Linked DNA regions of Rattus norvegicus. The protein of the gene in region 1 binds, or shares a complex with, the protein of each later gene. Links are inferred from orthologs where the notes say so. Each region holds a gene or a part of one and is shown on either strand. Other genes may lie near its edges.

Evidence for each region.
Region 2: the proteins of Bmp2 (region 1) and Hjv are in contact, whole or in part, in a crystal structure (PDB 4UI1), measured with the Homo sapiens proteins. The link is inferred for Rattus norvegicus from reciprocal best matches to the Homo sapiens genes BMP2 and HJV. Residues at the interface, in NP_001191.1 of Homo sapiens: Phe331, Pro332, Ala334, Asp335, Leu337, Asn341, Ile344, Val345, Leu348, Ser351, Val352; in NP_001366281.1 of Homo sapiens: Leu40, Asn43, Tyr46, Val47, Tyr86, Leu101, Ala102, Ser105, Ala106, His108, Gly109, Ile110, Asp112, Leu113.
Region 3: the proteins of Bmp2 (region 1) and Rgmb are in contact, whole or in part, in a crystal structure (PDB 4UI2), measured with the Homo sapiens proteins. The link is inferred for Rattus norvegicus from reciprocal best matches to the Homo sapiens genes BMP2 and RGMB. Residues at the interface, in NP_001191.1 of Homo sapiens: Val308, Gly309, Trp310, Trp313, Met371, Tyr373, Leu374, Asp375, Glu376, Tyr385, Met388; in NP_001353437.1 of Homo sapiens: Lys97, Arg100, Gly101, Leu103, His106, Ser107, Leu110.

What each region holds. Positions count from the first base shown.
Region 1 is NC_086021.1:141,262,177-141,272,433, reverse strand, and holds the start of Bmp2 (bone morphogenetic protein 2 precursor), read right to left. Parts: upstream 6,911-10,257; 5' UTR 6,667-6,910; intron 5,615-6,666; 5' UTR 5,608-5,614; coding exon 5,265-5,607; intron 1-5,264. UniProt on the Homo sapiens protein: Growth factor of the TGF-beta superfamily that plays essential roles in many developmental processes, including cardiogenesis, neurogenesis, and osteogenesis. Induces cartilage and bone formation.
Region 2 is NC_086020.1:186,749,467-186,759,723, reverse strand, and holds Hjv (hemojuvelin precursor), read right to left. Parts: upstream 4,924-10,257; 5' UTR 4,784-4,923; intron 4,030-4,783; exon of another isoform or gene 3,906-4,029; 5' UTR 3,799-3,905; coding exon 3,702-3,798; intron 3,329-3,701; coding exon 2,781-3,328; intron 2,269-2,780; coding exon 1,645-2,268; 3' UTR 1,016-1,644; downstream 1-1,015. UniProt on the Homo sapiens protein: Acts as a bone morphogenetic protein (BMP) coreceptor. Through enhancement of BMP signaling regulates hepcidin (HAMP) expression and regulates iron homeostasis.
Region 3 is NC_086019.1:65,455,523-65,465,679, forward strand, and holds the start of Rgmb (repulsive guidance molecule B), read right to left. Parts: upstream 9,628-10,157; 5' UTR 9,496-9,627; intron 8,585-9,495; 5' UTR 8,514-8,584; coding exon 8,509-8,513; intron 5,245-8,508; coding exon 4,982-5,244; intron 172-4,981; coding exon 1-171. UniProt on the Homo sapiens protein: Member of the repulsive guidance molecule (RGM) family that contributes to the patterning of the developing nervous system. Acts as a bone morphogenetic protein (BMP) coreceptor that potentiates BMP signaling. Promotes neuronal adhesion.

The DNA.
Region 1 (10,257 bases):
TAATGCACCTTTCCTAGAAGAGGCCTTAGTGTTGGCCAACACATTAGGATCCAGGCTCTGGTAAGCTAGCCAGGGACTCAAGAAGGAGTCTTTTAAAGCTCTTCTATTTGGATATGAAGACTACTAGGCCAAGCTGAGCTTCATTCATAGTTCCCTCACATCTGCTTGCCAAAAAGTTCTTGGCAATACCTTTGGGGAGCCATTTATGTTCTGAACTCCACTATCAGCTAATGGTACTTTAGGGCAGGGACATTCCTAGAAAGTATGATGGACTGTATTTAGCTTCTTTTATAAAAAAGCCTTTCATTGCCATTCTGGTGTCCCTTCATGCTTCTGCCTAAGGCACTTCTTCGATAGAAAATGTAAAACAGTAGCAACATCCCCTAGACCCTAATCACAGCAAATCACATTGGCACCTTCTGCCTTTGGCACAGTGATGTGCACATTAATTCCTGTACAGGCAGAGTATAAAGGCCAATTACCCAGGTCCTTCCACAAATTGCTACATTGGTCACCAACAGGACTCAAAAAATCATAATGGCAACCAAATCCTGGAATCCCGATCCACAAACAAAAAACAAAACAAAAAGCAAACAAACAAAAAACAAAAACAAATGGAGGAAAAGTAACAATCATGAGCACATACACATGTACACAGACACATCCAAGACAAGAAGACAAAAGGGAAGAGGTAATCCCCTAGATAAATAATAGAGGCAGGTCACTGAAGTCACAGAGAAATATCTTTCCAAGAAATAAAACTACTAAGTTTGGACCACATGAAACTTGTCATCTTTCAACTGGAAGCATAAAAACAGCCACTCCCTGTGGCCTATCACCCTGGGGGTAAGAAATATTTTCCAGACAGAATAAGTGGCCTTCACACAGAGGAGAACAATATAACCAAGAGTAATGACAAAGACCCATCTCTGTCTTTCAGCAGCATGTCCACCAGCCTAAGCCTTGGAAGATCTTATCCCATCCTTATACCAAGTTATCAAATGTGACTGTTTATTGAAATGATACATAGAAGCCAAGAATTTAGAGAAGACCTCAACACAGGAAGCCGACTGACCAGGGGTCAGGACACACAACACCTTTTCTACTTCAAGGGACAAGTTTCAACCTCTTCTTGAGGGTGGGAAATTGAAAATATCTTTTAAATAAAGAAAATTATAGGAAAAGACCTCGACAAACGATCACAGCAAGCCTGGGGTTCTGAAAATACAGAGTAGGTAATGTACACTTTTTGGAGGCTGGAATAGCTGTTAATTCTCTGTAAATATCCCTTGTTGAATCAGCTGAACTTGCTAAGTGATTTCAGGATTCTGACCTGTCTCCAACCTGAGTATCAGCCTCCTAGCCCTAAACAAACTGCAGGAAAGGGAAGTAAGTGGGGGCAGCCATGCCATTCTAGTCTCTTCTAGAAGCTAAGCCCACACTCAATGTTCTCCACTATGTTGATTATTCCTCTACCTCAAAATAACCCAAAAGATATGGCTAGGGCCACTTCCTAGAAAAATGAATAATATGAAATAAAAATGTCACCACAAAACATTAGTGGCTGTGCTTGCTTGCTTTTCTTCCCTCCCTCCCTCCCTCCCTCCCTCCCTCCCTCCCTCCCTCCCTCCCTTTTTCCCTTCCTTCCTTCCCTCCTGTTATCTTTCTCTCTCTTTCTTTCTTTCTTTCTTTCTTTCTTTCTTTCCTTCTTTTTTACTTTCTTTCTTTCCTTCTTTTTTACTTTCTTTCTTTCTTTCTCTCTTTCTTTCTTTCTTTCTTTCTTTCTTTCCTTCTTTCTTACTTTCTTTCTTTCTTTCTCTTTTTGCCAAATCTGGTGCCATCACCTTTCTATGACGTCTCTTACAAGAAGCACATTGAGGGAACAGTGGTTTTTCTCCATTTTGTGAGTGAAACAGTTGAGAATTCAGAGTGGTTATGTGACTTAGTTCACAGAACTGTTAACTGGCGTGCCCTGCAAGGCCCAAGTTCTAGCCATTGGGAGATATTATCTAATGTAAGAGAGACCTAAAATCCCAAGCAACAGTCCAAATCACTAGGAATTGGCACCCGACACCATGGAAACTGCAGAATGAGTTTTGCCTGGAAGACACCAAACATACTGCTCAGCACCCTTTAGATGCAGACAGAGCTAAAGGAACAGAAAAACTGAAGAGATGCAGCCAAATGGGACACCAGGCCTTGTTTAGATCCTGCTCTCTGTGGCTCTTGCTTGCCCTAGAGTAGGGTGAGTTTCATTTCAAAAGTTATCATTAAGCTTGGGGGATTTTGCAACACTTTTTGGACAGAAAACATTCCTCCATCAAAACAACAACAGGCCTAAGGCTATTCCAGACCAGCAGCTGCATCTCACCGCTGCAACAAGATTCAAGGAGCTTTGGGACAGACTGTGATTTTTTCCGGAATAAGATAAATGGCATGCCAAAGAGGAAGGAAGAAAAGGCTTAAAACACACAGAATTAAGGTTTAATTTTTAAGTCAACAAAGGAAGTGGTGGGAAAGGGAAACAGGGTCTAGTAGTCACCAGCAACCTGACTAGGTCTCTGTTCTCCTCATCACAGGCCCTATAAGGGGACCTTGTAGGTCCAGGAGGGATTCTCTAACGACCAAGAGAAATGTCCCAAGGTACATGTAAAGAGGACAAAAGCAGCTTGGAGAGGAGTCAAGAGGTATTCAAAGCATCCGCTGACAAACAAGAGACACTGAGAACATCAGTGGCAAGGAACACTGCACACTGAGGAACTGTTTTCCCCACAGGGTCTTTGTGAGCACACTAACACAGCCAGAAGTAGATGGGAGCCTTCCTGGGTGTCTGCATTCAAACCCATGCTGGCATGGTGGATGGACCATGCTTTCTTCATCACAAGACAGAGTTGTGCCTTGAAATGTCCTAGCCTGCGGCTATTTTCTCTCCCTCTTTGAAAACTTTAGTCACAGGGCCACATCGTTTGTTAGTTACAAAAAGAAAAAAGAAAGACTATGTTCTCCATAGTCAGAAGAACCAGCATGAGATCCTTCTGTATATGATCTGCCACTAAAGGGGAAGTCTCTATGGGGCCAATGGAGTCAAGCAATTTCCAACTGTTTTCCAATGGCAGCCAGTTCGGGAAGGTCTTCAGTGACCTTGGGGTGGGAATTCAGCAAAGTCTGGACTCTCCTGGATAAAATCTATGGTAAAATGCTCTTAATGTTCAACAGGAGATTTTGTCTGGAAGAATCTACTGAAAGACTACCATGGTATGTCTTGTCTCATGCCATTCTAGCATTTACGAAGAAGCCTACCAAGTAACACATGGCTTATTAAGGTTTTTCAGTGGCACAAGGATGCTTAGAAAAACTAAACTCTAGGCTACTTAACAATGTGAACAGTCTTCCCATATGCCGTGTATACCTGATGATGACTGAAAAGAAATGGTTTCTGAGATTTATGGTAAAAATCACATCTGATTGCACCAAGATATAAAGTCAGTGCAAGTTTATTTTAAGCAGGTCGATAACTTCTATACAGTTTTACACCAGAAAAACCACTTTTAAAAATACAATTTTTCTTGTGAACGGAAGCTCACTAAGTTTTAAAATAAGACACCTAGATAGCGTTTTGCCTGTGTTTTTATCAAGCCACTTCCAAATGAAGACTGAGAATATGTAGATTTTATTGACAAACCTTACATTCAATTGGATTTTTGAGTTTTAGTTGACTTAAATGATGCTTTTAGCTTAGTTAAGATAAAGATAAAATAACTCGTTCATTTTTTTTTACAGGTAAAGAATAATTTTTTTCACATTAGAAAATACTAATAAATAAACAAATACACGAATAAATTGTTTTCCTGCTCTATCTCCAAAGGCAGTGGGAAAAACAGCTGTGCTGGCTAGTGGTTTTGTTTGTTTGTTTTGATCTACAAAACATTTTCCAATAAATATTAACCCAGAAAGATTAGCTTAGCCCTGGGGACGGGGGCTGGGGGTGTACATTCTGGAATCTCCCTCTCTCAGCAAGCAGACCCTAAGGAGCAGAATAAGGTCTCACTATCTTTCAATACTGAACGTTGTCCCCAGAAAACCTTAGACACCAGTTTCTAGTGCCCTTCATAACCATTGGCTGCCTCAAGGAAGATACACCCCTTGCTATGTGACCTGCCGGTGGCTCTTTTTCCTATTATCAACCAGACTTCTCAAAGTTTGAGTCATCCCTTATTGGGGATGGGGGTTGGGCTGCCATTTCAGAGCATAGATTTCTACTTAAAATGTATCCTCTCAAGAAAGGCAAAGCGAAGCTTTAAAAAGGGAACTTCTCTCCTAGCTCCCCATTGTTCTATAAATTGCAGCTCACTGACAGACAACTCTGAATTCTTCTAGAACTTGAAGGAACTGATATCCTATTGAGATTGCATTAAACCAAAAGCACATTTAAAGTGACACACACGGAATTGAACTGAGGCACGATTATTATTATTATTATTATTATTATTATTATTATTATTATTATTATTTTTACTAACTGCTATAAGGACATTGGCACAAGAGACTTCAATAGGCCTCTACAGCATGTCTTACCCACTAAATCTCCTTCCGAAGAAATAAACATTACTCTACCTTGGGAAACCATACTCATATCGTATTTTTTTAAAAATTCCATTACCTTGTCTAGGAAGGTAGCAGGCAGTGGGAGAAAATGCTTTTATCTGAAGGCTTGACCTGTCTCCACTTGGAGACTTAAGAGTTAAGCAGGAGAAAGGAAGGTCATTGGGGAAACAGTATGATGGATTGTGGAATTGATCTCCCACGGGGATTAGATAGGGATTCAAAAATCTTTCAAACGAGGCCCAGATGAACAGCAAATTTGAATGCTTTGGGGCCCTGGATTTGATTTGTTAATACTACCTCTGCCTAGCTTAAAACTCCAGCCTGAACACAAGCCACAGATCTGAGCTTCCACACAGATTTAAGGAGCCCCAACTCCCTGCCTTCTGTGAAATTCTCCCACAATGAGCTGACAAGGGGCTAGCCAGTCTCTCACCCTCTTCCCCATCACTCGATTTCCCTCCAGTTCTAGTGGGGAGGAGTCTGTCTGCTGGCCACCTGCCAGGAAAAGGGTGCGGACTCACCAGTGGGGAATCCCTGGCTCGGGGCCACAGAGGGGACGGTACAGAAGCCGAAGGACCGTCCACTGTGCTAGCGGAGGCCCGGGCTGCCCACTGAGTCTCCGCCCGCTGTCCCCGCCCCGCCACCCGCCGCCCGCTCACCTTCGTGATGGAAGCTGCGCACGGTGTTGGCGCGGCTGGCTGCCCTCTCCAGCCGGTGGTCTGGGGCGGGCGCTCCTGGCTGGCCCGAGTGCCGGCGGTACAGGTCGAGCATATAGGGGGGCACCACGACGTCCTTGCTGGGGGTGGGTCTCTGCTTCAGGCCAAACATGCTGAGCAGCCTCAACTCAAACTCGCTGAGGACGTCGTCCGAAGGCCGGGACAAGGGGCGGCCGGATGCCCCGGCGAACTTCTTGCGGCCCAGCTCCGGAATGAGGCCGGCCGCGCCGCCCAGGAGGACCTGGGGAAGCAGCAACACTAGAAGACAGCGGGTCCCGGCCACCATGGTCGACCTGCGGACAGGGCCGACGTGAGTCACCCACGTTCCCCGCCCAGTCCTCCGCCCGCCCCCGCGGCCCCGGCTCCCACAGGGCTCGCTGGCCTTCTCCAGGATGCCCTCCTGGCATGTCATCCAAGCTACAGCCTGGATGATCAAGAGGATGAAGAACCCCTAAGTCCCAGCCGGACTTCTCACTTGGGGCTTGGTCTTAACTCCCAATTTAAAAAAGAAAAATCAATGACTGTCTGTCACCTTTTCTTGTGACACTAGCTAGTAAAGCCTGTGTCAGGAAGCTGGGAACCCATAGATTGTTCGGACACTGCATCCCTTACAACTATACTGCACAGCGTTCATTTGCACATAAACAGACACAAATGCACAAGTGACTTCCTTAGAGGCGCCGTATAGAACTTCCTGGTAGATTGTAGATTCAGAAAGCGGTAAACTAAAGATTAATACTAATGACGCCACTTGCAAGTCGTGGCCTACGCCCCTAACTTCAAGGTTGACCCACAGGCCACTCTGTCCCCTTCTCCAGACCCCTGTGCAGTCAAGAAATCCATGCACCTTTCTGCAATGACCTAAATAGATAGTGTCTATAAATGCACGTGTAAGCTGTGACACATCCGCACAGTCAGTAAACACACACAAAAAGAACCCCGACTTTTAGTAGCTTCCTAAATGGGACCTAGTTCTTAAGGATAGCGAAGGATCTCTAAGGCTTGGAGTGCTGGTGGGCAATGAACTAGTGAAATCCACCGGCCATACTCTCTAAATGGATTTCTGCAATTTGGGGGCGGAGGAGGGGGTAAAGCCCAAAACAGCCCTGATAATGTATTTAAAACTGGGGAGGAGGAACGGGCTGAAAGGAGGTCGCAGACCAGGTGGGCAAGACAGAGGGATCTGGGGTTCAGAGTGCCTGACCCCTCTAGGGATCCGCTCGCTGCACGTGCACCGGGAGAGGGTATGTTTACGTCCACTCCACCGGTCCTCCGAGGCGCCCAGCGCCGCCGGGCGGGAAGCGGTGTCACCCGCCAGCCCTGGGTCCGGGCCCGTGTCCTCTACCTTTAGGAGACCGCAGTCCGTCTAAGAAGCACTAGGGGGCACGTCCATTGAGAGAGTCTCCACATGGAAAAAGCTCTGTCCGAGGGACCTGGAGCAGCGACTGGGCTTCTGTTGCCTTTCTTCACCTCCTCCTTCTCCGGGTGTTCTCCCCGAAGGGAACCGTGTCTTGGGGTGGGCCCAGCCGGCCAAGGAACAGAGAGGTGACCGGGCTGGAGGCGGCGGCAAGACTGGATCCGCCGGGCGAGGACACCGGCGCGAAGTGGGGAGCCCAAGTCACTCTCCCGACAAGTTCAAGAAGTCTCCAGCCAAGTGCTGACACACAGCCTCAAGCAGGGGGAGGAGTGCGGGGCAGGGACGGGGAGGGAAGGCTGAGGCAAGGCTGCTGCTGTCGTCTTCCTCAGGGACCAGCGCTGGCGGGGCGCGGGGCCGGCTCCGGGACTCGCCGGGCGAGGGTCGGACGTTCTGCGTTAGCTGGGCCGCGACCCATGGCTCGGGGCAGCCATCGTGGGCGACGCCGGGTCCCGGCAAGGGCGCAGCGAAGATCTGGGTGGCGGGCGGGCCGCCACTCCGCATCCCTCAGCCTGACTCTGGCGCACCCCCATCAGCGCTCGCCAGCGGAACCCGCACGGCTGCGGCGTCCCGGCGTCCTGGGGCTCATTCTCGAGACAGTCCAGCCGCGCGTCCCCGGCTGCCAAACCGGGTGACCTCACGCTCCGAGCCCTCGGGCCAAGTGTCTTTTGTGGCAGCCTGGGGTCCGATCACTCTTCCTGCTCGCCTCGGGCGCTCACTCTCGTGTCGGAGTAGCCCAGCGTTGAGGGTAAGACTGTGCTCCGGACTCCCGGCTCTTAGCGTCGGTCCGCGACTCTGGCTTCTCCCGGACAGCTGAGGCCACAGAGCCGGGCGCGCACAGTTCGCAGCTCCAACCGGTGTCGTGCCGGCCCCTCGAAGCCCCGGGTGACCCTCGCGTCGCTCGCCCTGAGGGCGTCCGATGGCCGGTGTGGGCTAGGGAGGCTTCGTCCCGAGCTGCCAATCCCGGGCGGGCTGTGGGAAGCGCAGCGGCGGGCGCAGTGCGAGCCGGGCTCTGCGCGGCAGGGCGAGGACTCCGGCGGCGACGACGGAGGCGCCGTGGCGCGGCGCTCGCGGCTTTTAAAGGAGACGCCGCCTGCCGGCTCCCTCCCGGCCGTGGCCGAACACCTCCCCCTCGGAGGCGCAGCGCGCTGGGGATCCCCGGGCGGGCGGGAGCAGCGCGCAGGGGTGTGGACGGCGCGCCCTGAGGGGCGGCCGCGGCGGGGCGGGGCGGGGCGAGCGCGCGGCCGCTAAGGGGTCGCGTCCCGGCTGAGTGTAAAGCAGACCCCCGGGACCAGGATTCGTGCCCCAGATGCCCGAGTTTAGGGCAAATTCAGGGTAGGCTTGCCTCTGAGTTCCCCCACTGGGCCAATATTCAACTTGAGTTTGAAGTTTTTAGGTAAGATCACATTAAAAAGAAGAACCTAGAAGTTATCAGACATGTTGGCAAAGATGTGAGCAAACGCTTCTCTGTTTTGAATGGTGAGAAGAAAATGTCAAGAAATAGCCAATACACATTCGAGTGTATTATTACATTTTATAAATATTCATACATTTATATGCGCCCATGTGCATATATAGTCAAATAAATGAATCTAATAAAAGATGTATATACATATATGTATTCATTTATGTAAATTATAAAAATGAGGGTACAGGTTCTGTACATAGATATACACATGTAAAGTGGATGTCCCCTCTAGTGTTTGTGTGTGTGTGTGTGTGTGTGTGTGTCTGTCTGTCTGTCCATGTGAGGGGACAATGGGAGTTAATAGAAGTTCTCTTTATAGAAACAATCACTTCCATACTTGGGCTATTTATCTCCCCTCCCCCACCCACCTACACCAGAGGCAGGTAACAAGACATTTCTGGTTTGAGACTTTTGAATTTTCTGTCTGGCCCTCTCCACTAGGTCTCCAGAAGCAAGACTCTGACTGTGGCTAAGCCACTTTTCTTCCTCAGCTGGAATGTCCCCAAAGCTGCTGATCCAGGATTCGTTTTGAACTCTTTCCACTTCTCCCTCATTTCAGGAGCCTTCATACATACTACCACCTTGTTGCCCACATGACCCCCAAAGCTATGGGCAGAACATTTCTGTGGAAGACCAGATTGGTAATACCAGGTTCTGAATCAGATCTTTCAAGTTTGCAAAGCAAAGACAGAGAAAAACCAGAAGGAGGGGCTTTAATAATCTATTATCCGTGTGTATTAGCTTTTCAGTTGGGAAGCTAAAATAACTCTAGGTTCTGCTCACCTAAATCAGATTAGCAACCCACAGAGGGAAATTAGGCCCTGGCTGTTTCTAGAGCTGTAAAGGGCAAATAAGGTACTTTGAAGGAAGGCTGCCTACTAGGAAAATTAAAGGAGAAGGAATAGATTCAGCAATCTGCAATCAGTTACTGTATTCCTTCTTAAGATGTGTTGTAGAAATTGTCACTCTAAATCGTGAGAGACCAAACAAGAAGGCAATAAAACACTCCACTCAGACATGTAAGCCAAAAGTGCTGATCGCTTCTGAAGCCATTTCCTTCCCTATCAAGTTTAATTGAGAAGTTAACAATTGCTTCTGTCATCGGGAAGACTTGTGGAGCAAAGCAAAACCTCCAAACATATATGAGATTTAAATCAGAAAGTTGCCTTTAATGAGGAAGAGAAAGTTGACAGCTGTTGGACCCACCCCAAGAAAAGATGAAAATGAAACCTTTGGGGATGACATCAACAATGCCGTGTAGCTTTGGGCCTTTGGAACTCCAGAAGCGGGAGTTTGGCCATTTATGATATCCTTAGTAATCAAGACTCTGAGATAAAATGGATGCCTCCGGACAGTTACTCCACCTTGGTGGTGCCTGGCGGCTTCTTTTTTGTAGGACATGCAACGGGAGAGGGGAGGTGCAGGCAGTTAAAAGCCTTTCCCAGGAACTTTCCTGAAGTTTGGCCCAATTTCTCTGAAGAGCACAACTGTTGTTTTTTAGAGATGGCTGCCCTCTTGTGGTGGAAATGAGCGTAAACGCATGGGACCCAGAAGTGGATCCAGTTTGAAAGAATTCTCTGTTCTTTGGAATACAAAATAGACGGTCATGGTCAGTCCGTTCTTCATGAAATAGAAATCGTAGAGAAGAAACAAATACAAAGGCGTTGCTTTTTTACTCTCTATGCTTCTTTACTCTCTATCCTTCCACCCACAACTAAGAATGTGTGGTTGGTTACTTAATAGTTCGAGGGGATAGTAGCTGTCTTCTCTGAGGACTTGCTTGATCTTACCAATTAAAAAGTTTTTCTTGGTATCTGTCAGTTCAGAAGTTGAGAGTATCTCTGTTTGTCATTTTTAGTGTATCTGTCAACAAGTGCGTAAAGGGTCTGAGTGGGGCAAGGCAGTATTGGGGCAAGATATGGTGAGAATAACAATTCTAATTTTTGTAGAAGGTCCAGACAAATCGTGTCAAAACACAGTCTATTCGCTAGGGTTCCGCATAAAGGAAGCTGGTGTTATTCTATTCTAGCTAGTTCTTGCCAGTTTTTCAAGAG
Region 2 (10,257 bases), on another chromosome or scaffold:
TGGCAGAAGATAAAGCCAACCGACCATGTGAGATTTAGGGTAAGTGCCCACGGGCCAAGTCCCCAACTGGGCCTGGGGTACCAGGGGAAGGTTTAGCCTTTGAGGTAGCCAAAGCATCTTAAAAATAAGCTTGTGTGTGTGTGTGTGTGTGTGTGTGTGTGTGTGTGTCTGTGTGTCTGTGTGTGTGTGTGTTCTGCATGAATTTATGTGCAGTATGTGCCAGAGGAGACCCGAAGCTATGTCAGATTCCCTAGAACTAGAATTGCAGGCCATTGTTAGCGCTGGGAACCGAACCTGAGTACTCTGGAAGAGCAGTCAGTGCTCTTAACTGCTGAGCCATCTCTCCAGCTCCGTGCATTTTCAATGTGTTTAGAACATTACATATTTTAAGCTTTGGTAACACTGTCTGGCAGATTTTAAGCACTAAGTAAGTGTTCGTGATGAGATCTGAACTCCTTAGTCCCACCTCAAGGCGCTGTGTAATTCCTTCGGCCTATCTGTCTCACAACTCCTTGTTACATAGAGAGTCCCTCTGGTTCCCTCACTAACCATGACTGCGGATAACTCCCGATGGTCTTCACTTCCTAGAAAGCCCTGAACTCTTCCCATCCTGCCATCTGCAGTGTCATCTCTGTGTCTTCTATTACTTCTCATTACTCTGGTTCTCAACCCTCATCTTCCCACAGGAATTCAAACGCCATAGAATCCAGTGAAGAATTACACATTCCCCCACCCACCTCCACTCCAGGGCTTGAGGAGTAGACACAGTTGGACCAGCAATGCAAGGCCACCTGGGGCCACATGAGGCTCCACCGAAAATAAAAATCAAATGTAATAATAACACTCATGACTCCTTCCCGTGAACTGGTGTTTTTTCTCTGCAACAGCCTGTAGACTCCAAGAGGGACAAGACAATAACTGATAACTCTCAGGCCTTTCAGTGGAGTGAACACAGAGCCTCTACTCCATGCCACAGATCTGTAAAGCAATTCAACACAGGCAAGAGAGGACAGGATGGGGAATTCGTCACTTTAATAACAGAGTAGGAAGGGTGGAGATGTTGGTGCCAGTCTCCAAAAGCTGACTTCCTCTGCCAGACAATGCCCACTTCATTTCTGAACCAAAAAGCTTGCCTTAATTAGTTTTTTCTCTTTTGATTTTTTTTTTCTTTTTTAGGAGCTGGGGACCGAACCCAGGGCCTTGCGCTTGCTAGGCAAGTGCTCTACCACTGAGCTAAATTCCCAAACCCCTCTTTTGATTTTCTTATAGATAATCATGGTTTCCCCTTTTCTAGTTTCTGCCTTTAAGATATCTCAGCCCTTTAATGTTTTGCTGGCCCTTAGCGCTCTCACAATCTCTAGCCTTGCAGGAGTGATATCAGGTGTACAGAGAGTAGAATTTCACTACAAGTGGGAAATCACTAATGGGGAAATTCATGGGGAGCCCATACCAAGGTCTGGAGTGCAAAACCCTGTCTCAGAATCTTTATTCTAGGGTCATTTCAGCCCTGGACTGCAACCTCGTGTGATTGAGTAAGGTCGTTGTCTCCTGTCCCCACTGTTTCCTTTGGCACATCTTTGTGTTTTCTCACATCAACCTCTCTCCTCAAACCGTTTCCAAACTAGTCACGGGTTGCTGGCCTACTTACTGAATGCAAAACCACAGAACAAAGAGGACCGAAAGAAGCCGGACTAGGCAGGTGGCTGGAGAGAGGGGAGGCCCCGCATCTACTGGGAAAAGGTGCAAGTTCTCCAAATCGGTCAAGAAGACTCGGGCATCGTCCAGAGCTGACTGAGCTGCCACAGTAAAGTTGGGGTCACCGGAGACTGAAACATCAAAGACGCAGGATTGGAAGTAGGCATCTTCAACCGGAAGCCCTTCCTTACACAACCTTCTGGCAGTATCTATGGCTATCGCCCCACGGCGATTGCGCTCTGAGCGAGAGAGTCGCTGGCTCGGAGGGCATCCCCCAACACACAGCTGTAGATCCTGCTCAGCAGAGAAGGCCCGTGCCACATCCTCCGCTACCCTGATGGAGAAGGAGAGCTGTCCAGCTGTCTGACGAACGATTATAGTTGTTCCAATGTAGGCAGCTCGAATCTCCACGTGGCTCCCAAGGTTAGCAGTTTGAATGGACAAACTCGAGCCCCCAGGTCGGTCGCCCCCATTGACAGAACCATCTTCAAAGGCTGCAGGAAGATTGTCTACCTCAGCCTGGTAGACTTTCTGGTCAATGCATTCCTGCATGTTTTTAAATATGATAGTGATCTGAGGACAAGAGAGAAAATTAGTTAATTAGGGCTCAAAGCATCCGCACACCAATCAAGCTGCACAGAGAGTCAGGGATCTGATCCCAGCAGAGATGCAGAGATTCTTCCTGGTCCTCGGTCCTTGATCCTATTGTGTCCTGACCCCTGCTCAACCTCCTAATCTCAATCTGTCTCTGTGTCTGTCTGTCTCTATCTATATATCTCAGCAACTTCCAAAAGAAATGAAGTGCGCGCGCTCTCTCGCTCTCTCTCTCTGCCCCAGCTCTGCCAGTCCCAGTTCTCAGCCTCCTCTTTAGTGTTACCTGCATTTGAATGAAATTCCCATCAAGAGGAATCACATTTACAAGAGCAAACGTTTGATGGAAGGAAGCCATTCAAGATGGAAGGGAATGTTTGGGAAAGACAAGGAACAGGGAGCTGGGTGGCTGAGGACTAGTGGGAAAAAGGAGTGGTATGGCGGATGGAGCTTGAGAAGACTCAAGAAGGTAGGTTGGAAATTGAATCTCTGACCTTCCGGATGGTGGTAGCGTTGGCTCCCGATGCTACCGGGGAGCTGGTGGCTTGGACAAAGAGGAAGTCGTTATCTAGTAGGGGCCAAGCTCCTTGGACGCGGCATGTGTGAAAGTGATTGTGGAAGCTGCGCACATGGGGGTCTCCAAAGGAAGCACAATGCAAGAAACCCGGGGTTCGACCGTGCAGCCTGGAAAACCGGGCTTCATAGTCACAGGGATCTGGGGTCAGGGGCGCTGGGCCGGCCCCGGGCAGGGCAGGACCCCGGGCCGGGGGCGAGGCCGTGGGACCCTGGCGTGAGCAGTTGTGCTGGATCATCAGGTCCTCTATGCCATGCACCGCGGAGTGGAAAGCGAGGTCCCCGCGGCAGGTGCGGGCGGTGCGCCGCGTGCAGAGAGCGTAGGAGCGCAGGGCGCGACACAAGCCACCTGAGGCCGGCCCACCACGGCCGCCTCCATGTGGCGTGTCCGGTGAGCCCCCTCCCCGAAGGCTCAGAGTGGACGAGACGTACTCGGCATTGCAGCGGAGGATCTTGCACTGGGAGTGAGCTGGGGATGGAAGGGAGAGGACAGTGAAGTGAGACTCAGGTTCTATCCAAGTCCAGTACTCGCCTAACTGCCAAAAGGCATCCGCCATCCCACCGTTCCTCCCACTCAGCGTGGGCACTTTCCCAACCCCAACCTTCAGCCTCCTTATTCTCCTATTTCTCGCCTCCTTCCTTCCTCTCCTCTACTAAAAACATGTAAAGCAGTCAGACTTCTTTTCCCTGGGGACGCCATCTGTGTCCTTCCTCAAGTTAAATGGGAAACAAGACAGGCCTCTTTCAGAGTTGGCAGGTGACTGGGACATAGCACCCATCCCTCTGTGCTCACTCCTACCTAACCTCTAGACATGCCCAACCCGCCCCTGGCCCTTCCTTACCCTGTCCACAGAGGAGCAGCAGGAGAGTGAGGGTGCTTAGAGTTGGAGGACTGCCATGGGGGGACCGGAGACTAGGGGACCGGCCTCGATCCCCCATACCTATCCAGCCAGGTCCCCCCAGGCACCGGTTCTTCCCAGATGAGGAGCCTCCTACCTAGTGAATTTCGCCGAGTACTACTTCTGCGATCGGAAGAAGAAATTTGGCTGCGTGTGGGGAAAGAGAAGGGTTGAAGATTAGTCAAGATGGTGGGTAGAGAATCTGAGGAGATGAAGACAAAAAGTAAGCAGACTGGATCTTGGAAAGAAGGAGGCTTCCAGCCGGTGAGCGGTGAGTGTGGCTGGTGAGCCTTTGTGCCCTGCTCCTGTGGCCACCTTAGGATCCCTTGTGCAATATGCCTACGGGGGCGGGGTGGTGGTGGTGGAGGGAAGGTTGAGTGACCTCAGTGGACAGAGTCCACTTTATTGCCCCATCCTGAAATAGCAGATGGGTCAAAAAATGGAAGCTCCCTGGGGAAAGTGGGTCCTAATTAGACCAGTGGGTCCCAGTAATGCTGGGACCTGATCATGCTTAAGACCGCACTTCTTATTCGTCCCTCCCATCCAGAAGCCACCCACCATTTTGTTTTCTTCACTGTGATAGAAGGGCACAAAGGGTAGCATGGTAGGCAGATGCCCGTCTAGGATGGCATCTTCCCAGTGAAAAGGGAGCCAGGCGATCTCTCAGCCTCTCCAGAGGGCTGACGTGATCCCGCTCTCACAGGATGGGGTACAAATCAAGCTTTCAAATTAATATTTGCTTCTGCCTAGTCAACGGTTCGTCTGTTTTTCCAGACCCAACTGAAAAACACAATCCAGATGCTCCTGGTCTTTTGAGGGGAACAGATATTGGGAGGGGTCTGTCTCCCTTTCTCCTGTCAAAACCCTTCTTTGGAATAAGTGTATGAGCAGGCGGTCCAAAAGTGAAGATTGGGGTATCTGGTAAGGAGAGATCTTAGTTTTCAGAACAGATGTCTGTAACTTTATGAAATTCTAGCCTCGACCCAAAAGCTTATCAAAGCAACCGCCATTTCATCTAGACTTACTGTTTCCCGAGGTCAAGCATTACTCTGATACCCGGTTCTCCAGCCATAGTTGCCTATTCTGTTGGTCTGCTCCAGCCAGGGGGTCCTCCATCTCCTTCTCCATGTCTGTCCCCGATCCCCCGGACTGGCTGCAATCTCACCGAGGTCAGAGAGCCAGAGGAGCTTTGGTGTGGGGGGAGGGGGCAGGGAGAGTATATGGTTGGCCCAAGCACTGGACAGCTGAGAGGAGGAGGGAGGTGCCTCCTGAGTTGACAGTTTTAAAAATAGCTAGGTCCAAAATTCCAGGAACGTTGGTGGCAGTAGGGTGTGGGAGCTAAGGCAGCAGGAATGATGAGCAAAATAAAGAGGGAATATGGGAATGCTGGGTACCAAGTGAGGGACTGCCTAAAGAGAGAACGATGGCCAAGTCCCATGTCCAACTGCAGCTTGTATGACCTGCCACTCAGGTCCTTTAGCGTTCTCAGTAATGAGCTCCCGGCCTGTAAGACGGCTGGTGGTGATTTGTGTGACGCCTGTCACTCACCGTTCTCATCCTCTCTTTACTGAGGATGCCACTGAGTTTCCACACATGGTACGTAGAGGTAGCTGGCTTTGAAGATGGATGGCAGGCGTAGTTCAGAGACCCTCCCCCATCTCCGCCAACTATTTCAGAAGCCGAAAGGCCAGCTGTCTGGAGAAGAAACCCGAGAGCAGAATTGTTTCGGAGGAGGGTTTATTCTGTCTGTCCGGATCAGATCTCTGCAGCTGTCTATTCTATCTCCACCTTTTCCATTACGCTAGTGTGTGCAACAATCCCTCCTCCTCGTCAATACAAACACAAAAAACAGAAGCTTCCGGGTTTCGGGGGTGGTGGGGGCAGTGGGAAGCTGAACTGGTTTTGAAGATGACCGATCCACAGAGAAGTGGGGCCAGATAGGTGAATGGGGAAAGAAGAGATTCGGGACTATGCTTTCATAGAAAGACTGTTCAAGACTCTATTATAACCAAGGATTTAGCCATGTCCCGTCTTTTCACCTGGCGGCACTTCTGGGACAAGGGAAAGCAGCATAGGACCGATTACAAAGTGTGTCACCAAAGCTTCCAGCCCTGTCAGCTCGACATCCAGCTCACAGCCTACAGGTCCACATGGTCCTCACACACACACACACACACACACACACACACACACACACACAAACACACACACACACTCTCGTGCACGCACACATGCACACACACAGTCCACAAAAGAGAAGAGTGGGAACATGCAGGGTTTTTTTTTTATATGAATTTAGTTTTTTCTGAACTATACATGACCATATTACAATAATATTCTTTTATATTAAGTTACTTAGAGTATGTCTGTCTCTCTGTGTGTCTGTGTGTACCACTGTGGATGTCAAAAATTTTACAGAGTCCGCTCTCTCCTCCCACCATGTGGGTGCTAGGGACCAAATGTCACAATTGGTAGCTAGTGAGTGCCTCTACCTGCTCAGCCATTTCACCAGCCACATCCCAAGAACTTTTATTCCGTAAAATTCCCCCAGCTAAACTAATCAAGTGACTTTAAGACATACTAAGTTGTCTATAATATACAAAGTGGCATATACTCTGAAACCAAAAATATGTGCGAAAAAAATAATTTCTTGAGGCTGGAGGGATAGTTTAGTGGTTAAAGCACGTGCTGCTCTGACAGAGGATTCCGGTTCCATAACCCACATGGCAGCTCATTTCTAACTGTAACTCCACTCCAGGGGCCCCAATGCCCTCAGCTGACCTCTGATGGCCTCTGCACACATGTGTTGCACATACATACATACACTCAGGCATACACACATGCACATAAAATTTTTAAAAAATAAGTATTTTTAAGGAAGTTGTTGTTTTGAAACAGGGTGTTGTATGTGTAGTCCCAACTGGTCTAGAACTCGTTATGATTGAGACAGTTGTCCTGATGGTGACAGGTGACATGCAGGGGCCACTGTGCCCAACTAGTACACAGTATTTTACAGTCCTCATTATCATTGACAGTGGTGTTGGTATTATCCTGGAACTATTGTGAGTATGTTGTGGGCTTTAAAAAAATTAGCGAAGGCTGGAGGGATAAAGTCACAGTTGAGAGCATGTATTGGTTTTATAAGGGACCTGTCTTAGTCAGGGTTTCTATTCCTGCACAAACATCAGGACCAAGAAGCAAGTTGGGGAGGAAGGGGTTTATTCAGCTTACACTTCCACATTGCTGTTCATCACCAAAGGAAGTCAGGACTGGAACTCAAGCAGGTCAGGAAGCAGGAGCTGATGCAGAGGCCATGGAGGGATGTTTCTTACTGGCTTGCTTCCCCTGGCTTGCTGAGCTTGCTCTCTTGTAGAACCCAAGACCACCAACCCGGGAACTGCACCACCCACAATGGGCTGGGCCATTCCCTTGATCACTAATTGAGAAAATGCCTTACAGCTGGGTCGCATGGAGGCATTTCCTCAACTGAGGCTCCTTTCTCTGTGATAACTCCAGCTTGTGTCAAGTTGACACACAAAACCAGTCAGTACAGGACTTGAGTTTGGTTTCTAGCATCCACATGAGGGGGCTCCAGGGGAGTCAGTGCTCTCTTCTGGTCTCTTTGGGAACCACTCAACCCACACACAGATACACATTCAAAAAAAAAATCTTGTTTTTAAGTTAAGTAATAATGGTGGGTTTTTGGTTTGGTTTGGTTTGGTTTGAAACAAAGTCTCACCATATAGCCTAGGCTGGCCTGAAACTTGCAATCCTCCTGCCTCAACTTCCTGAGTGCTATAATTACAGGTGGCTAATACTGGGTTTTTTGAGAACCATGATCTTTGATGTGGGATAGAAATGCTGACTCATGTTGATGAAGTTAAGTAAAAACTCTGTAATTCTAAACCACTCCAAGGGACCTGGAGCCCCCTTCTGGTCTCCTTGGGCATTGCATGAAGATGCACAGAGACATACATGCAGGTAAAACAAACACCCTTACACATTAAAAAAAATAAATTTAAATGCAAAGATGACTGTGTGTTCATTACATTTTGCCTTTAAGTGTTCCTAATTTATTATGAAAATACCTAAAAGCAGGGAGCACGTGTTAGCGAACACTCCTAGTGTCCAGGTTGTGGAACACGAGTATGATTTCCCACTCCAAGAAACCAGAAAAATAACTTATTCCCATTTGGAGCCAGGAATTATCCAAAATAAACAAGGAAGCTTTAAAATGCTGTATCAGGCTGGGCATTTATTCTCAGCACTTAGGAGGCAGAGAAAGATGGACCTCCATGAGTTTCAGGCTAACCTGGCCTACATAAGGAGTTCCAGGCTAGCCAAGGCTACATAGTGAGTGAGGTCCTGTCTCAAACCAAGCAAGCAAACTAAAAGAAAATAGTTGCCCCTTGCCAAAGACAGGACAAATTAGTTATCAAAATAGAAACTGAATATATTGGATTGACACACCAAACATTTTAAGCCTAAGTTCACAATTATACTTAAAAGTTAAACGTGACTGGCTATTATTGGAGAAAGCACGTCCGTTTTGAGAACCGCTGGCAAATGGAAAAAACCAAATAGTTAACTGTTTTTGATTTGTTTTAAAATTTTCCTTCCTTTTATTTATGTACTTGTGGGTGGAGGGAGTAGGTGTGTGTGTCACAGCATAGGTGTGGAAGTCACAGGACAATTTGCAGGACCTGGTTCTCCTTCCACTGTGTGGGTCCAGGGGATTCAACAAAGGTTGTCAGGCCTAGTGGCACTATGCCCACCCAACCATCTCACCAGCCCCCTTTGTTTTCTGCATCTTCGAAGACAAAGTTTCAAAGGTTAGCTTCTGCAATGGCCATTCCCAGTAGTCAACGTGACTATATCTGGAATGAACTACAATTGGAAGGCTCACCTGTGATCCTGATCTTGAGGCTGGGAGACACAAGTTTTTGACCTGGATCTTGGCATGGAGATCTTGAGGCAAAGTGGCTATGAATCCCAGGAGACTAAGGCAAAGAGATCTCTGAGGTCAAGGTCATCTGGGACAAAGCAAGCCCCAGATCCAGGCTTGGTGGTCCACACCTTTAATCTGGGCCACACCTTCTGCTGGAGACCTACATAAGGACACTGGAAGAAGGAAGATTCACTCTTCTTCACCTGCCTGCCTTGCGGGACTGGGCAACTACTAGATCCTTGGACTTCCATTCGAAGCTGCCATTGTTAGGGAGTTGGACTACAGACTGTAAGTTATCATAACAAATTCCCTTACTATAGAGACACCCATCAGTTCTGTGACTCTAGAGACCCTAATAGAGCTTCCAATCCAAAATGTAGCCTAGGATGATCCCCCTGCCTCCACCTCCCACACGCTTGAGTTCCAGGTGTGAGCCACCATTCCTAGCTTTATTCTGACTTCTTTATGAAAACTATCCTAAAATGATGGGAAAATTCTAGAAATATTCAGTAAATAAATGAAGATATTGCACTGCATGGAGAGGTCCCATACTTGGGAGGCTGGAGAGGTCCACGCAGGCCTAGGCTACTAGGACACTAGACACAGAAACAGATTTCGGCAAATCTAAGTATTTACTGTTAAAATATTATTTTGAGACCATATCTCAAAAATAAATAAAGGAAACATGACAATCATAATGCTGGCATTTTATAACTCCTAGTGAGTTAATGTATCTAGGCAAAAAATAATTCATCGCTAAAGAGAAAAAAAAATATGTTCTTCTAATTGTAGTTAGGTATACAAGGCTACTTTGCCTTCCAAAAAAACCAATGAAAGCTGGGTTCACGGTGGTATATAACGTGATGATCAGCAAGAGACAAGAGGGTCAGAAGTTCAAGGTCAGCCTGGGCTTCAGAGGAAAAACCCTGTTACAAACAAAAAGCAAACAATAAAACACTTCAATCCTAGTCGGCTGTGGTGGTGCACACCGCACACTGCTAACTTAATTCCACCCCTCCAGAGACAGAGGTAGATGGATCTCTGAGTTCCAGAACAGCCAAGACTATACTGAGAAACCCTGTCTTAAACAACAAACCACAAACATTGCTTGTGGTGGTGATTAGGGTGATACTTGACCCCATAGGCTCATATATGTGGGTGTGTAATCGCCAGTTGGTAGTCTGTTTGGGAAGGATTAGGAGGTGTGGCATAGTTGTGGTTTTGTTGGAAGAAGCCCATCTCTGGGGTTTTGAGGTTTTAAATGCCTATGCCAGGGTCCGTGTCTGTCTCTGCTGCCTGCGGCTTAAGATGTAGCAGTCTCAGTTACTTCTTCGGCACCAAGCCTGCCGGCCTGACAGAGAAGGACTCCTCCTCTAAACTGTAAGCCCCCAATTAGACGCTTTCTTGTATGAGTGGCCTTGGTCATGGTGTCTCTTCACAGCAATAGAACAGCGAGTAAGACATTGTTTAAGAAGAATAGACCCAGAGTCTGGTAGCACACACCTTCAATTCCAGCACTTGAGAGACAGAGGCAGAAAGATCTTTGAGTTC
Region 3 (10,157 bases), on another chromosome or scaffold:
GGTTGCCACGGCAGGCTTTTGAAGTTCGCTGGGTGCACCCAGCATAGGCACGAAGTGCCTTGCAAAACTCAGAGTCAAAGCCATCGGCCGCGGAGTTCAGGTGTGAAGTCAGGGACACGAAGTCTGTGGTACATTTCTGGATTCGACATTGAGCAGGCTGTTGGCAATCACCTATGGGAAAGAAGGCAGGATCAAGCATGCAACTGTGTCATCAGTTCCTGGGCAGCAGGAGAGAAGATGCTTTTCTCCCTAGGAACTCTCTGTTCTACCTCATATACTCCCACTTTAAGACACCTTCGCAAACAAGCTTGAGCTTTGGTAACTGAACAAGAGTCTAGTCTAGAAATGCCTCCAGGTTAAAATTGCCAATGAAATATTGTTTCTTGTTTGCTATTTTGACAAAGATTGTTCTGCTCCAAAGCAAAGCCAAAGATATGGGCTGTTTTGAGTTTTAAAGTCCTATGAGTAATTTGCTCTGGAAAGCAGCGGGGGGGGGGGGGGGGGATACACTATGCACATAGCTATGATTAAAGCCTACACACACCGAAGAAAGGCTAAAACTCTAAATTATAGTTTGTTTAAAGTATCTTTACCTGGCTTTGTATGGCTACAGGGTAAGAAAATCAAAGGAAAAAAAAATTCAAGTAGTAAGTTGTTTTACTTTTCCTGATGTATTACTAATAAGTTGCATCACCACATCCAGTCACCACGCCTTAGTGTCTATCAAACCTAAGTACTCTGCTAAGAAAGTGATTCACTTGACCAAGATCCGATTTTACTTCTCTTCACATGTCTGTCATACCGCAAGCTTAACACGTCAAGCGAACCGTAGGCAAAAGACAGTTAAAAAAGTATGCAACATCAAAATTGTTTTTCAAAATGGGATCAGAGAACTATCGAGCCAAGAATTTGTATGTGTGTGACTGTGTACGTGTTTGTGTGATCATACACAACTCCTTTCCCTTTTAATTCAATTAATTAACAGTTTAGAGAAAAAGTTAAAATGAAAACCCAAGTATAAAAAGTCCTGTATTAAGAAATTCCAAATTATCTGTCACTTGTCTCTTATATAACAATTCATGAAATGTTTCTGAGCACAAGAGGAAAAGACAAAACAAAAAACTAGGTTAGTCATGTGTACCAATCAATTATACATTGTTTCAAAACTGAGAAAAGGTTTACTGAAGAGAAACACTGGCCCTCTATTTCAAATTGTATAAAATGAACTGTAACATATATTTGTTACTTAAAATTCCTAGTAGGTGTTTAACTGTTTAACTTATGAAAAGCTTAATTTCTTCCCATCTTAGCAGCATCCTCTTCTGAAGAATGTGTCAGCTGTTGTAACAGCCTCATGGTCTTTTCTTGGCATAAAGTGTCTCACCTTTTGTACTGGTGGTGGTGAGGGTTTGACATCACTGGATGATCCACTGGTTTTGGCTAGTTTTGTGGTATGTTTGGTAGGTATATGAGTGTTTTGCTTGCACGTATGTCTGTGCATCACATGCATGCCTGGTGCCCTTGGAGGCCATATAGATGATGGTATTGGATTTCCTGGAACTGGACTTACAGATGGCTGAGCCACTGTGTGGGTGCTGGGAACCACGTTGGGATCCTCTGGAAGAGCAGCCAACCCTCTTAACTGATAAGCCATCTCTGCAGAGCCTGGTTTTGCTTTTGTTTTGAGACAAGGCAGGTCTCCTTGCATTGCAGCCCAGGCTGACCTTGAACTTTCGATCCTTCTGTATCAGCTTCCAGAATGTTGGACTACAGGTGTATGCCACCATGTTTGACAGAAGTGGGTGGGTTACTTTTTAAGTATGTAATTATTACAATATGTGGATACAATATATTTCAGGATATCAGTACTTAAAATGTCACCTGATGAAGGACATCATTTAGTAACCTCTATATTGTTTAGAAAGGTGCCTCAGTGTTTTTAAATTTTAATTAAATGGTAAACTATTTTTGTCTTTGGTTGGAGGGAAGTGTGAGGGTAGCAATCTGTCATTGTGAAATTTCAAAGACCCAGTTGAGCCTTCATTTTCATTTTTTACCAGAATAAAGGAGATTAAAATTGTTTTACTATTTTGGAGTTAATGGATTTATAGCAATCACTAGACCACTTTAAAAACAAAACAAAACAAAACAAAAGAGTCATTGCCATGTGTTTGGTCCATTCAAGGCTTGTTCAGTGCAGTGCTGACAAAGGGAGTTTGATTTACAGGACTCCTTTCTTGAAAACAAATGCATTTACTTTCAACTACTTTTACTGGACAACAAAGCGAGGACCAAAACAGTCAAACCAATTCACTATTCCAAAAGCCTTCAAGTTGTTTATCGAGGGAAAGGAGTATCCAAGGTCTTGCTCTGGACTTGGGATTGTTCGAGACTAACTAGTGTCAGTCACCGATAGCTGAGAAAGCAGTTGGGGGACAATGATACCCCTCCTTTTAAAGTACGATACAGAGCAAGTGCAAAATAAGTAAAAGCAGGGCCAAGATCGCTCCCTAACGAACAGCTCTTGGACCTCAAATAATGACAGCACTAGAACTTTCCGCTAAACTCGTGGGGCCTATTTGTTCTTTTTATGGTCTATAAAATCTATCTGAGCATACAGTTACTTATAATTATTTCGAATAGTCATAAAATATCAAAAGTGAGGACAGCGTGGAGATACAGAATCCCAGAGTTTGGGGGGGGGGGGAGAAGATGCAGCGTTCATTCCCAGTGTTCTATTGTACCCAACCCCCATTCCTAAGCTTTCCCTTTTTCATGGTGGGTAGGTGCTGACTGCTTTGAGAAATCACACACAAAACAACAGCTCTTTTGCTTTGGATGAGGGGCCTACCCTCGGCTGTGGAGAGGATCAGGGTGGAGGGCTAACTGAAGAGAAAATGCTTTGAGGTCAGCATTTTCAGCTCCATCACAGGCTCCGGTATAATGACTAATTTGTAGCATACACCCAGAAATATCCAAGCTTCATGAATTTATAATGACAATGCACACTTTGCCTGTTAGAGGCGGTAATGTAAGCCCCCTGTCAGAATGCCAAGATAATGCAGGGCAGAAACACTCTCCAGGATGTGGCCAAGGAGGCCATGGAGTGTATGAGTAAGCAAGAAGGCCGGTATGTGATATTCACTCCTGAACTGCAAAGGTCTTCTTAAAATAAAATCATAAAATACATGTGAAAAATAAACAGGCCGTTTCCCAAGGGCAGAATCCAAACGATGCACTTACAAAGAAGAATTTTCTATTTTGGTGTCAGCAGGCCATCTACAGTTGGTGTGACTTGTGCTTTCGGCCAGTTACTGGAAGTGCTAAAAGGATTCGTGGTCTAGAGATTTCGATTCATTATTTTTTAATGAACATAGGCAAGACAGCTTCCTTCACACGGGGACTGTGACTACAGCACAATTGCCAGGTTATCGTAAAGGAAATGAGATCTGTTGAGGCTGAATTGAGGGAGCTATGGAGCCATATGGGGCACAGAGGCAAGCGATATGACTCAGACGGAAAACATATGGTGGTCCATCTGCAAGCAGCACTTCCTCGGTTCCCTGGTCTGGAAAAGGACCCCAGCATTTCAATAGAGCCACTCTTCAAAGAGATCTCTGAAAAGCAGCTCGACTTCAACAAGTTGTTCACAGTAATGAGGGCCTTGGGTTCAATCTCAATGTGAGCACAGACTGAGTTACTGAAACCAACCTCGTGTTCCAAAGCCTTTCGTCCAGTTTCTCATGCCTTTGACAGGGCAGCAAGCAACTCCTCAGGAACTACTCTCCAACCCTGTCAGGACCCCACAGCAACCAATATCCAAGCTGCCAAGAGCTCAACCTAGCCTTTCAGCGTCCCTTTCATGAAACGCACCGTTTGACATAAATCATACATTTTTCTCACCCCAACGCTCCTGAATACTGGAACATTAACAAAAAGTTTCCATGAAACCGCATGCAGATATTTTTCTAAGGTTCTATTTAAATTACTAACTTAAAGCCAAATTTAATTATTCCACAACTGGCTATTACATTTTAGCATGACCCCGTCCATTTCCACAAGTGACAGTGTTACAATGCAGCTGTTATAACACCTCGAAGACTTGTCTCTTCGATGTCATTTTATTCCATTACTTAAAAGGCCTCCCAGTTATTTTAGGACGGTTCGTATATCTTATCAAGTAAAAAGTTTTCAGTACAGTTGAGTGTTATTAAACTAGAATTCTCCAGATTAGTGTTGTGTCAGCTGAACAAAGGGGGAAAGGGCTTCCAAGGAAATCTATGTAAAACAATGATCCTTTTAATTTTTGTATTAAAGGGAAATGCACAGTCTAGGCCAAGTATTAAAAAGATATGGCACTTCCTTGTAAAGACAACAAAATTAGGCATCACACGTCACGAGGGTCAGGTTCAGGTATATCCTTAGGGCATATTCCTAGTGCTGCATGGGCAGGGGCTGTGCGAACCTCCACACTGCAGGGCGCATCTGTCAAGCCCGCTAGGAGCCGAAAACCCAAGGCTTTCAAAGCACGTCCTCGATTCGCCAAACTGCGTCCAAAGCAGCACTGGCAAAACCGAAAGAGATCCCGGTTAACTTAAGTTTCTTTGGAATTCATCCCCCAAACTCGGGTGAAAATCTTTACACCGTGTGCGACTCCGGGCCTCGCCGCCACCCCCAGATGTAGAGGAGGAACAGCACAGAGTCTCCGCTCGCAGGCGACCAGGGCGGTGGAAACCCGATCAGCAGCTGGCTCCAGTAAACACCCCTGCAGAGGGCAATAAAGCCCCGGGGTGTCTGTCCCGCACGCGGTTCCAGCCCGCACGCTGGGACCGGACCACCGGCTGTCGCCGGCGAAGGCAAGAGGCGGCAGACAGGAGCGTGAACCTGCGACCGTGAGTGCCCTGCTCGCCCGCCAGGGCCGTGGCGTTCCGCACCCAGAACAAAGCCCGCGCGGCCCGCTCCCCACCCGGCCCGCGCCTACCTGCGTGGAGCAGTCCAAGGCTGAGCAGCAGCAGCAGCAACAGCGGCGGCGGGGGCGACGGCGGCCAGAGTCCGGGGCGGTGGTACTGCTCAGCCCCGGCGGCGGCGGGGGCGGCGGCGCAGGAAGGTGCTGCTCTCACGCCCATGCCCGTCCATGCAGGTCTCGTGCGCTCCTGCGAGGGCGGCGGCGCGGGCGCAGTGGCTGGGCCGGGCCTCGGGCTGCGGCATGGGCCAGGGCGCACGCCTCTCTTCTTCCTCTTCCTCCTTTCAGGCCAGCGTTCGAGACCGGCCGCCACCGCCGCGATGAGCAGGGCGTCGCGAGTGGAGGGAGGCGGCAATAGGGCGCAGAGACATCGAGACGGCCGGACGCGGCAGGCAGAAAGAGGCGGGAGAAAAAGATACAAAGACCGTGAGCGAGCGCCGACAGCAGCCCGGAGCTCAAGGGTGGCTGAGACCCAGCTGGCGAAGGCTGGACGTGCGTGGATCGAGAAAACCTCACCAACCGTAGCAGGCAGCGGCCCGGAGAGCTCCGCACCGCGGCCTGCGCGGTCAATCAATCTCAGCCCCGCACTTTCGCCCCGCCCCTCCGGGCTCTCACCAATCCGCGGAGGCCCCGCCTCCGATCACCCGCCTTCTCCACTCCCCATTGGCTGCGAACGTGCCTCCCGCCCTCGCATCTCACTCAAGTTCCGTGTCCGCCGCCCGCGGGTGGGGCAGCTTCGCCAGGGCCCAGCCTCCCTCCTGCCGGCTTCCTTGTGCTTTTCTCCTCCACCCCTTTCCGCGATCACTGTTTTCTGGTACCCAATAGAAATGGGCGACAGCGACTCTCACTTGGCCCGCGTTCCAGGAGAACCGGCCTTTAACCTTTCCTTGAATTAATGAGCTTCAGGTTCAGCTTCCTCCTAGTTTTTTGTTCGTTGTTTTTAATGACCCTCTCCAACCCCTTGTCCTATTGCTAGCTGCAGCCACTTGCAGGAAGCCAGCGCTTTCCCAAGCTCAGTGTAGCAGGTCCCCCCACCCCCACCCCCCACCCGACTCAGCCAATCGACTGCTGGACCTCATAGCAAACTTGTTGGGGGGTCTCTTGGCAAATCAAGAGTCCAGCCAAGCCTTGTTAGATACTCAGATGACACCGAGGTCCGTAGCAGATGGATGGACTGAGAAGGTACCTGCGAGCTCCCAGCGGAATTCGCTGGCAGCTGCGTGAGGCTCTGGTGTTTTGGTTTCTTTGACATTTTCCCAGCTTCAAAGCGGAGAGCGGGAGTCAGGGATTGGGCGAACTTCAACGTGTTCGGTTACAAGGTAATTAGATTAATGAGAGTGGTGAGTTTTTATGCAGTGCAATTATGCCACGATTTCTTGTTGCTCGGTGGCTTTTCCACAAATTTCCAGTCTATTAAATTAATCCAATGTTAGGTCTGTTTCTACTTGAGTTGTCCTCCAAAACCTAGGGCAATCCCCCTCAAATTATCTCTAAGGAGAAGGGCTAATATATGGAGACAAAAGAAAGCACGTGCGGAGTTGACGATAGGCTCCAATTTGTTATCAGTTAGTGTGAAGTGGTATCTATCTCCTTCGGAGAGTGGCGTCAGTGCTCCTAAGAAGCCACTTTACTTTCCCCCTGCCTCTGCCATTCTCCAAACTGTTGAGGACTGGCATTTAAAATGCACTTAGTGCAATCTAAATTACAGTTTGCAACTTTACCTGCTACATTACTCAGAATCTCTAATTAGGAATCTCCTATCAACCACAGACACATTAATAGTCCACATGTTACAGTGTGCTAATCAATGGACAAGGATAATTGGGGGGCAAGCCTTAGGTCTCACCATCTTACTTATTAGACACATTGTGAATTCCTCAAACCACCAGGTCCCTAATGAAGGAGACCTATCTGTTTTTACTGTAATTTTTCATTACTTATTACAGGCCATGATGATTCAAGTGGTAAACACACCTTTCACTACCCAAGATATAATCCAAGCCTTATGTCTATCTTTAATATGCTTAATAATAGCTTCACAGTTGCCTGGAGAAATGACTTTTGATGGGGGGAGGGCTGGATCTGACAGTTTTACATAATGGTGTATACTAAATGCTATCAGGACTTTTTTTTTTAAAAACCATTTTGCAGTTACTACATATAATCCATGAAATACAGTTCAGAAAATATTTCTTTTAAAGAGTGATCGCATGACACTCTTCTTAGAAGTCCTTTTAGCTTAGAGCTGGAGAGATGGTTGAGTGGCTTGTACAAAAGACCCGAGGTTCACTTCTCAGTGTGCACTGGCAGCTCACAATAGTCTGTAACTCCAGTTCCAGGGGATCTGAATCCCCTTCACCTTCACAGGCACCAAAGGGGCACATGGTGCACAGACATACATGCAGGCAAAATGTTCTTACACATAAAGATTTTAAGTGCTTTTAGATAGCTGGCTCACAGAAAAATGTAGGGTTTTCTTACCTCAATATTTAATTATATTCCGAAAGGAACCTTATGTTATTATCATGTTTCATATAAACAAAAGGTTAAAGATCAATACATTCAATTTAGAATCTTTCTGCTGATGACTTTGCTTTTTTTTTTTTTTTTTTAAATACAAGGGGCTCCAGATATTCTTATCAGTAGAGGGCACCCTCGAGTTGCTTCGAATCCTGGTGTCAAGGAAAAAAAAAACTGTTCAGAGGAAAAAAAATTCATCTCTAAGGTGTTTTATTGCTCCTCTGTTGTAAAATTTGACAAGCTTAAGACATGTATGCCTAACAATTCACTTTTTATTACTGCGTAAGTGTTCAGCTGCTGGAGGAAAATGCTTTTTCTTTTTAACAATTAAAGTACAAGGTGGTTCTTATTTTCCTGACATTGGGTCTGTTGACACAGTCTGGGGTGAATCTGGATGTTAGCAAGATTTGAAGTCAGCTTGGAAATCAAGAGCATGTTGAATGGTTTTTAGAGGGCAGCCACTCTTCCTGTGCAGCATGGTTAAGCAGAATTTGGGACTGGACAAAGAAAAACCCAGGGAGGAAGCTAGAACAAATTTGATGATTATAAGTTTTACATTTTTAATTAGGAAAAAAAAAGTGAGGTGATTGGCAACTTGAGCAACCCAAAAATCCACCTCGTGTCTTGCCATCTGCATTCTTTCTCTCTTCCTCTTTGTTTTCGAAGAGACCAGAACAGTACATCTAAGAGACCCAGCAAAGTATCCTACACCATGGGCATGCGAATGGGTAATTAAAACGGATGCCAGTAACGTTAATGGATTCTAAACATGATGCAATTTCATTTCCCAAATCCTTAACTGTGTCTTAACTGTTCCCCAGGTACTGAATCTCCATACCCAAAAACCTAACAAGAGGGTCTCTGCTTAACAGCTCACCCAGGACAGAGAAGCCAGCAATGAGCGATTTGTGTAACCCATTCCTGAGTAAGGGCTCCCCTGCTGCTCATTGCTCCACAGTGTTTGAAAATAGGGGGCCCGGAATAGCCCAGAGTCCAGCAGCATGTAGCTCCTGGCTTGTACTTACATCATTCTTAACCCTTCTGCACCTGGAGGGGGCTCAGCGGGATCAGGATGCCCCCGAGCTCCGGAACACGCAGGACCTAGGTGTGAGAGAAGAGCCCCAGGGCTCCGTATGAGCGCTGAGTCCCTGGAGAAAGAGAGAGACCACGGAGATCACGCGCTTACATCCCGGGCCCCTTGATCCCTAACAGATTCCAGTAGGGCTCGCTTCTGGCTCTCAGGACTAGAAGCGGCAGGTGCAAAAAGCATTTGGGAGCCGCTTGCCAGTGCTTGGAGGTAATGTGCTTCCTGTCCATTTATCTCAGGAAACCAGCACAGCCTTCCCTTCGAAACAAAATTAACCTCTCATTAGCCAGCCACTCACTCCCAAGAAGGCCTTAAAAGCTTTACCCTCTCACTAATGTATTTAGGCTTTTCTTCCAGGCAAACGAAGCCGAGGCTGTACTAACATCAGCCCCAGGGGTTCCTATGGGCTCCCTCAGGAGCCAGCTGCCAGCCTTTCACCAGTCTACTTTGGGAAATTGGCCAACACAGGATCCCAGTTTGTAGAAGCAGGCCAACCCAACATCCCTGACCGAACTTCACACCAACCCACCCCCTAGCCCCGGAGGATAAGTTTTTCTCTCTTTTCTTGGGTTCCTTTCACATTAAAGCTTCAGCTCCATTACCCCCGAGGAATGGGAAAACTTCACTGGCCAGCTATTCCCAGGTCATGGGCAACGATGGTCCCTTGGGAAGCATCCATGGAAAGCTGGGTGCGGGGTAGCCTTCCTTAGACTCTAGTCGGTTCCAGGCATTGCGAATTAAACATGGCCAGGAGCTTTTGGAACGCCAGGGCTTTCTCACCCTGGACCCCACAGCCCGGAGCCTGGCAGATTTATACCACACAGGTGGACCCAAGACCTAAACAAAACAATCCCCGCCGCTGCCTGCCATTCGCCCCCCACGTCCTCCGGGCCCACCGCAAACTTCAACAAAATAAACAACTCACCACAGGCATTCCCTTGTCTGCAGCGCGACGCTTGCCAGCTGGGAAAATAAGCCGCAAGCCACGCGGCCGGGGCGCTGGAGGGAGGCCACGCCGCGCCCGCCACTCTGCCCCAGGTGGGCGGCAGGCGGGCGGCTCCACCCGGGGGCCGCTCTCCAGATGCCGGTTCCGGAGTGAGCTCCGGGGCAGTGCTCGCACCCTGCCAGCCAGCAGGGCCTCTCTGTCACCTAGGGGGAGAGGGCGGGGAGACAGGTCCCTCTCCCCAACTTCCTCCAAACTGCCTCTTTCCCACTCCTGCCCCCAGCCGCAGCGGCAGACAACCTCCGCCGCGCCGGTCCCCACTCCACCTCACTGCCCTACTGTCCGGCTGGAGACCCGACGGCAGGGAGTGTGGGACGCTTCTACCCCTGCTTCCAGGTCCCGATCTCTCCTCTTCCCGGCTCCTACACCCTTGCTTGCACAAAGGCGCCTTTCACGCCGCCAGCGCCGCCCTCTGCGCCGCCCTTCAGGCCCGCAGCGCTGCCTTTACCCACCCCGCACATCCCGGTCCGGCTGCGGACTCTGCCAGTTGTCACCCGGACCGGCAGTGGCCGACGCGTGCGGTGTTCGCACTCCGCGCCCCCACTAGGGCAACAGACACCCTCCCCTCTATTTCCTCCTCGTTT